Linked DNA regions of Mus musculus. The protein of the gene in region 2 interacts with the protein of the main gene of each other region in a biochemical or structural test. Links are inferred from orthologs where the notes say so. Each region holds a gene or a part of one and is shown on either strand. Other genes may lie near its edges.

Region 1 (3,572 bases), on a different chromosome or scaffold from region 2:
TCAGGGCGCAGCGCCTGCTCTATGCAAAAGAGGGGAGCTACCCTGTAAGTGGACAGAGCCAGGTGAACTACCTAACGTGCCTCGCCAAGCCCAGCCTTGCCCTGTTCATCCATCCCTGGGGTGTGATCTCTGCTGAGCTGCCTGCTCTCTTGGAAAATTCCCAAGCCAGGAAGGAAACGGTGAAAGTTTGAGGGTTGGAAAAGGTCATTTCCCCGCCCTGCTCCCAGCTCCCCACTGCCCTCTCAGGCAGAGAAGAGCTGGCAAAACGGCCCCCTCGCCACCCAAGTTCCTTCTCATGCTGATCAACGAGCCAACCTGCCTGCCAATAAATTACTATTATAAAATGTCGTGTGTAGCCATCGGCATACATATACATGTTTTGTGTACTCGGGCACACATGCACATGTATGCATGTATGTGTCATTATAAAGTTCAGCTTTACCCCCTCGCCCCTCTCTGTCTTGCAGGCGGCTTTGGACGAAAAGCCCCTAAGCCTTGCAGTACGACTCATCGCATCATGGGGGCCACATAGTTGGCAGGGAAGAGACCCAGTTTGTTGTGCAGACGGCCGGTCCACCAAGATGGGTTGGAGCTGTCCAGGACTTCAACCACTTCTCCGCTTCGGAATCCCAGCTCGTCCTCTTCCAGAGCCTCAAAGTCATACAGTGCCCTGGCCCAACGCACCCGCTGTAGGAGAGACAAGAGATGGGAATGAGCTCGGTAGGCTGGTCTTTGGTACGACTATCACACAGAGGAGCCGTGAGCTTCTAGATCTATTCTGAGTCCTCCGAGCCCTTCCCAAAGGCTGACTTTGCAGCAATCTAAAGCAGACCTGATATGCACAGCCCTGGGCACCAAGCTACTGGGCCGTACTACCTTTGCTCTTGATATGGTCTTGTTCTGCTACTGTGGTACAGGGGATGGAAGCTAGGACCTCATATATGTTATGTAAGTGCCCTACCACTGGGTAGGTCCCAAGGCCACGTGTACTGGATCGCAAGGATAAACCTCACGCATCCCCTGCTGCCAGGAGATGGAGAAGAGCGTGAAAGCCCAATAGTCTGAAAATAGCAGCCTGGATGAGCCAGGCTGAGCCCTCTCTGGTGAGACCTCCTCGCCCTCTCTGCTCACTCACCCCTGCTGCCTGGAGTTGTACGGGGTCGGTGTGTCTCCGGTGCATCAGCGTGGCGTTCACCTCACTTCCAAGGCCGCAGTGTCCATCGTTTATGTCCAGGCTGCCCCCACGACGGTCCTAGAGACATGAAGGAGAGGGCCGCTGCAGGATCAGTAGTGGTGACTCTCACAGACTGCCCCAACCCTGTGCCTTGCTTGGGGGTGCTGTCTACTGAGATAACACCCAAGAAGACTTGCTGGCCATCATCACCCTTCATCTTGGAAAACACACAGGAGGGAATCTGAAGGGATCTTAGATTCTGAAGTCAAAGATGATGGCCTCCATTTATTCAATGAAATCACAGTAATTTGGGGAGTCTTGTGTACCCCGAGCCTCAGGATTGCAACCAACCCACCACCACCACCACCACCACCATCATCATCATCACCATCTGTGTATGTGTATATTCATGTGTTAGTGTAGAGTCCTGAAGGTGATATGGGGTATCCTCTGTCACTCTTCTATCCACTTGAACGGATGTTTCTGAACCTGGAACTCACTGATTCAGCTAGACTGATTGGCCAATGAGCTCCTGGGATCTGCCTCAGCAGTGAGGTTAAGGATGTGTTCCTGATGCTAGTTTGTACGTGGGTGCTGTGAACCTGATTTCCGGCCCTCTTATCTGCCTAGCAAACACTTTATCCGTTAAGCCATCTCTCTAGCCCTATTTTTTTCCCTTTTAATCTTAAGACAGGGTCCCACTGTATAGCTCAGGCTGACCTTGCACTCACTGTGTAGCCCAGGATAGAGTTGGGCTCTTAATCCTCCTGCCTCAGGCTCCTAAATGTTGGGATTATAGGCATGCATTGTCATACCTAGCTTGTGTGGTTCTTTTCCTATTTACAAATAAAAAAAAAATCAGGAACATTTGCTGGTTTAGAGGAAGGACCATATACAGTGATGTGCTAAATGAGCAAATGGGAAAGCCCAGGTGTGCCTGGGTAGATCATGGAGGGCATCCTGGAAGAGGTGGTGCCTGGGCTTCAGTTTGAAGGAGAAGCGGTTTGGGCCAGGACAGACTCATCAGGCAGACAGAACAGTTTATAAAAAGCCAGAAAGAGAGAAAATGCTCTGAGCCACGCCAGTGTGGTGCCGTTTGCTGGGTTGCGTGTTTGCACGGTAGTGGGGGCTGGTAGCAGGATATGGGCCTGGGAAAGTAGATACAGGCAGCTCACAAAGGACTGTGTGCCCCGTGGAGGGATGTAGACCAATGTTGTCTTATTGTATTGTCCCTCTCTGTAAGCCTCTAGCAATTCCCTTCTGGAGCAGGCAGGGGTAGATAAACAATCAGGGCAGCGGTAGGTGTTAATCCGGTTTTCTTTTTACAGGTTAAGGGGCAGGGATTGAAAGTCTGATGACAGGAGAATTAGTCTTCGTGTGTGTGTGTGTGTGTGTGTGTGTGTGTGTGTGTGTGTGTGTGTGTGTGTGTGTGGTGTGGTGTGGTGGGGAGTTGGGCACCGGAAGTCAGTATCTTTCTCTCTCTCCATTTGCCTTATGTCTTGAGACAGCGTCTCTTCACCACCTTGGAGTTCACTATTTCAGCCTTCGCTCTTTGTCCTTGTCCCTTCCGTCTCCTCAAATACCTGGTGGAAATGCTGCAGATAACGCTGCTGTTGAGGGGGCTGCGGCCCTGGTGTGAACTGGGGTGACGGCTGCTGGTGCGGGTGGAACTGCTGGGGACCCAGAGGAAGGTGGTCTGACAGCTTCCGGTTCACTGAAGGTCGGATTTCTTCTCCTACGGTTCCACTCGGGTGAGGGCCGCCCTGGGACCTCCTGTCCAGGCTGTTGCCCCGGTGACCCTGGAAGAGAAAACAAGAGATCCAGATTCATCCTTTCCCTAGATCCTGTCTCTCTTCTGGCAGTAACTGTGTGGTGGTGGTGGTAGGGCTTAAAGAAAATCGAAGGTTTAGACCTCCACGTTATCAAAAGTGGCCTGCGAATACTCAAGTCTTTCCTAGCTCAGGAGTTCAGGTCTCTGGTTGACAATCTATCCGTTTCCATGCGGTCTCTGCTCAATCCATTCCTACTGGTTTGTTTCTGTCTGTAATCAGGCTTAACTATTCTATGTGACAGACAGGGATAGGTGGTTTGAAAAGGACACGTGTGCTTTGGGGAAGTAAACCCTGTCTCCCAGGCCATCAGCTGTTTTCGAGACTGGCATGTTACAATTATGGGAGGAGAGGGTTCCCCATCCAGGGCACACAGTCGTTCAGAAGAGAAAGCAAAGGTCAGCCAAGATCATGCGTGACAAATAATCCACATGTCGTCACCTGTTGCCAAACTGCTGGACATCCTACCCTCCAGATATCTCTACTCTTGACTTGGCATCATCCGGAGCTGTCCTTTACGGCCTGTCCTAGCGACCCTAGATAGCAACAGTCTGGCAGAGCTGTGAAAA
Region 2 (4,105 bases):
CTCTTCCCTGATTCAGAAGCTAACAGGTTTGGCATGATTGGGACTTTTGTGGGAGAACATTGCTGTGGTCATATAATGATACATATAAGTAAACATAATCATATTATTATTAATATCTTTATAAATAATCAGCTGTATTTGGTTTTTGTGCTTGTGTTTTCTATTTTTGAGACACGGTCCTGGCTAGCCTGGAATCTGCTATGGAGACCAGTTTGTCCACGGAGCCTCCCATTTCTGCCTCTGGAGTGCTGGGTGGTATTGGGCATATAATACCACCATATCTGTCCCTTATTAGTTGTCATTTTCCTTCCCTGCAAGGCTTTTCTCCTTACCTTGTGGCTGGTGCCTAGTACAGAACTCAGTATGTCTGGCAGGCCATAAGTAATGAAAGAATGCACCGGACTGCATGATCAGCAAATATATTGTACTTTAGTTTCCTCAAGAATCCTAAAACCGTCTTTCCTAAATAGTGCCTTACCTCTATCTCCTCACCCCTCATCGCCTCACCACAATCGTCTCTTTAGAACTAATTCTGAAGATGTCACTGCCACTCTCAAATTTCTGGAATCAAGTTGCCATCTTTACCAAGAAATCCAAGCAAACTGTGACAGATGGAGAGACATCTTTGGGGAACCTCTGACAATTTGTCAAATCACATCTTTCAATGAAATTACTTGGCTGTATTAAATTATACCAGAAGGTGAGCCCGAAACTCGCTGGTGAGCTCCGTGAAAATAAATATTGCCTGGTTTCACACAAGCAAGCGAGTAGTCCGATGATTCTTGGTGTAGACGCCCCTCCACCAGAAACAGGTTTCATCAAAACAGGTAGTAAACTCTAATTAAGTGGGTACACGTTTTGCTTTTGGGAAACACATTTCACCCTAAAAATACTTGTTTCAAATGCCGGTACAAAGTGTCATTTCTTTACTGACAGGGTACATCGCAAAATTAGCCAATCTGAAGGAAGACTTAGGACCCTAGATTCCCGATGAGGATATAGTTCCACTCAAGTATTATAGGCTCCTTCAAGATACAGTTTTCCTAACCGTGAACACAGTCATCTCACAATCAGCATCTTGAATCAATTACGCAAATACCAGTTAAGCCGTTCTGGTGCCCGGGAAAAGAAACGCCAGCATCAAGAAATCCCTGTTGGCTTCAGCTGTCCCCTCCTGCGGGGCTTGACAGCGCTTCTAAGGCGCCCAAACACCAGCCACCAGGCTCCCCCCAGCGCCCTCCTGCCGAATCAAACCGCCAGGGTTCTCAGGCCAAAATCCAGTGTCCTCAAAGCAAAACCATGAAAATGCTAAGCAGACGGCAGGGTTCATAAGAACTTTTTTCCCCTTTCCCTTGAGCGAATATTTTGAGAAGTTTGCCTATATTATCCACTTCTTGCGTCCACAGTTCACTTCCCTCCACCTCCTGGAGGCGCAAAGGAGAGCGGGCGCGGACCCAATCGAGAACCCATGAGTACTTACTACCTCCGCGGTTTCTCGGGGAGGGGAGATTTAACAGCTCCATGAGAATCTGATACAGATAATAAAAGAAGGCTCTTTCTCCCTGTTTCACTCCACCCTTGCTAAATGGAAATAACAACAACCAAAGTATGCAGCCAGTTTTGAGCTGGAAAACTGGGCTTCTCTAACAGGCAACGAGGCCTACAAGGGAGGCAGTCTGCAATATGGAGGGAGAAAGTTTGGCCGCCGAGTGGACGTCAGGGTGGGAGTGGACCGCACCCGGTCCGGAGCCCGCCGGCCGAGAGACGGATCGAGGAAAAGGAGGGCGGGATTCGTGGAAGAGCCAACCGGGCGCGCAGGCTGCTGCAGCGGGGCAGACGGTGACCTGACCTGTACTTACATAACGCTTCAACTTCTTCTCCGGGGGCGACTTGCGGAGCCATCCCGAGCAAACCACTTCGCCGCCGCTCATGGTGCACGCCGTGAGGACTCGAGGACCAGACACCAAAGGGGTCGGTGGACACAGTGGACGCGCTCCGTGCACGGCGGGCACGGCAGTCAAACGCAGCCCAGAGGACGTCTCAGATTCCCCCGACGGGGCGGCCCGGCTCCCCGCGCCCTGTGTCGGCGATCGAACCTCTCCCGCAGATTCGCGGACTGAAGAGGAACTCGATCGGGAACCGCGGGGACCAGGGCTCGCCGACCTTCTTTCAGTGCGCCCTCCTGGCCGCCAGGCGCGCCGTCCCGCCGCCTAGGCAGCGGTCGGGCTCCGCTGGGACTCTGTCCGGACAGGGAGCCCAGAACTGGAAGCCCTGCGCTCCGCCCCTTGGAAACGGGACCTCCCGCGGGTGCTCCCCGCTGCGGACCCCACGCTGCACGCGCACACACAATGCCCGCGCGCGGTGTCCGCTCCGCTCCGCTCCGCCCGTTGGCGCATTCACACTGAGAGGGGCTCGATCTTCTCTTTCCCTCTGCTCGGAAAAGGGCGCCTGGGAAGGCGTGCGGCGTCCGGGTGGCAGCCGGCACAGGGGCAGGTCCTGATCAGCCTAGGGAGTTCGCGGACCAGCAGCGAGGGTCAGGGCGTCGCCGGGCGTCGGGGAGGTCGCGGGTCCGCGGTGGGAGGGTGGGTCTGCGCTCCAGCCTCGGATGAGGGCGGGGATCAGCACAGGGACGAGGCGCAGGGCGGCTCTGCTTCGGGGAGGGACCCCTCTGTCCTGTCCCCTGCGCTCCTCCCCCACCCCGGGGGCGCGCGGCGGGTTCGGGGAGGCGCGGCCTGGGCCCCGGCCCTCCTCCTCCTAGCCTTTCTGCCTCCCCTTCCCACGATCGGTCGCCTCTAGCTTCAGCCCAGACTTTCTCTGAAACTCCTCCGGAGCGCTTCCAGCCAAAACAACAAGGGCTGGGGAGGCGGGGCCGGCGCTGGGAGGGAGCGAGATGGCAGAGGCACCCTGGGATCTGTAGTCAGCAGGCGCGCTGGGGTCCTCGCCGCCCCGCCGCCCCGGGCCCGCGCGCTATGGAAGGCGGCGGTCTCCGGGAACGCAGCGCCACCCCAGTGTGAGAGCGGGAGTGCCGGGCACTCTCGCCAGCTCCGACTGAGTTTGCCATCTTGACAACCCCCAGGGTCAGGAGTTTGTACTCGGCTGTGCCTTCGCGATCCAGAGTTTTCGGAAGGATTTCCCTACTTGACAGTCTGAAAAAATAACCCAGCCAGGAGGAGAACTCACTCAAGCGGGTCCTGGCTGCTCGAGAGACTGAAGGACTGCGTCTCCCGGACCAGGAGCGCGCTAGGACCCTCACTGTGCACCCAGAGACCAAGGGGGTGGGGGACCTCCTGGGTGCCTAGGGCCTGACCCAGGAGCTGTTCTACCGAGTGATGCTACCGCTTAGCCTCCACAAAGCGTTCAGCTGCGTGTATCTCTAAGACAGGATAAAGTCTCACACTGCTTCCACTCATGGGCTGTTTCTTCCAGTTGGCGTTGTGTTTGTTTAAAACCTGCGCTAGGATGTTGGACAGGAAAAGAAATCATTCTGGGTACCCTAATTCTATTTGCCTTTTTGTGTGTTTTACAGTTATTATATCTGGGCTGAGTTTGACACAGTCTTGTAACAGACTCTTCTTTACGGGTGTGTTTGAAACAAAGCCTTGGAACAAATTTTAGAAGGCAATATAATCAGACAAAAATTTTAAAGAGTTGGGCATGGTGATGCATGTCTTTAATTCCAGCGCTTGGGAGGCCGAGGCAGGCAGATTTCTGTGAGTTTAAGGCCAGTTTTGTCCACAAAGTGAGTTCTAAGGCGACCAGGACTACATAAAGAGGCCCTGTCTCAAAAAGGGAGTTTGTGTGAAAATACAAATAGATAAACAAGCATTTCTGAGAAGCATGAGTTTGGGGCTCTCCTAATAAATGTGTGTTCTGAGTCTGAAACCTTGGGGGTCGTAAAGAGGAAAAGGTGCTGGGAGCCCTGCCTGGCAGAACCCCTGTAATCCCAGGCCTGCCAAGGTAGGTAGGGGAGGGGGAGGGAAAGAAAGACTAGAGAGAGACATGGAGGCAGGAGTGAAGAAATTAAAGAAAGAAAAGAAAAGTAGATGCTAAGTTAATAATAAGACAAAAGCCCTTGCATATAAGAAGAGACAGTGCCCTTTGTTTT

Evidence for each region.
Region 1: the proteins of Gab1 (region 2) and Grap2 form a complex in vitro, tested with the Homo sapiens proteins (2 studies listed by BioGRID and IntAct, with this or other methods). The link is inferred for Mus musculus from reciprocal best matches to the Homo sapiens genes GAB1 and GRAP2.

The regions. Positions count from the first base shown.
Region 1 is NC_000081.6:80,645,538-80,649,109, reverse strand, and holds part of Grap2 (GRB2-related adaptor protein 2), read right to left. Parts: intron 3,038-3,572; exon of another isoform or gene 2,974-3,037; coding exon 2,758-2,973; intron 1,253-2,757; coding exon 1,136-1,252; intron 688-1,135; coding exon 508-687; 3' UTR 1-507. UniProt on the Homo sapiens protein: Interacts with SLP-76 to regulate NF-AT activation. Binds to tyrosine-phosphorylated shc.
Region 2 is NC_000074.6:80,877,673-80,881,777, forward strand, and holds the start of Gab1 (GRB2-associated-binding protein 1), read right to left. Parts: upstream 2,808-4,105; 5' UTR 1,932-2,807; coding exon 1,860-1,931; intron 1-1,859. UniProt on the Homo sapiens protein: Adapter protein that plays a role in intracellular signaling cascades triggered by activated receptor-type kinases. Plays a role in FGFR1 signaling. Probably involved in signaling by the epidermal growth factor receptor (EGFR) and the insulin receptor (INSR).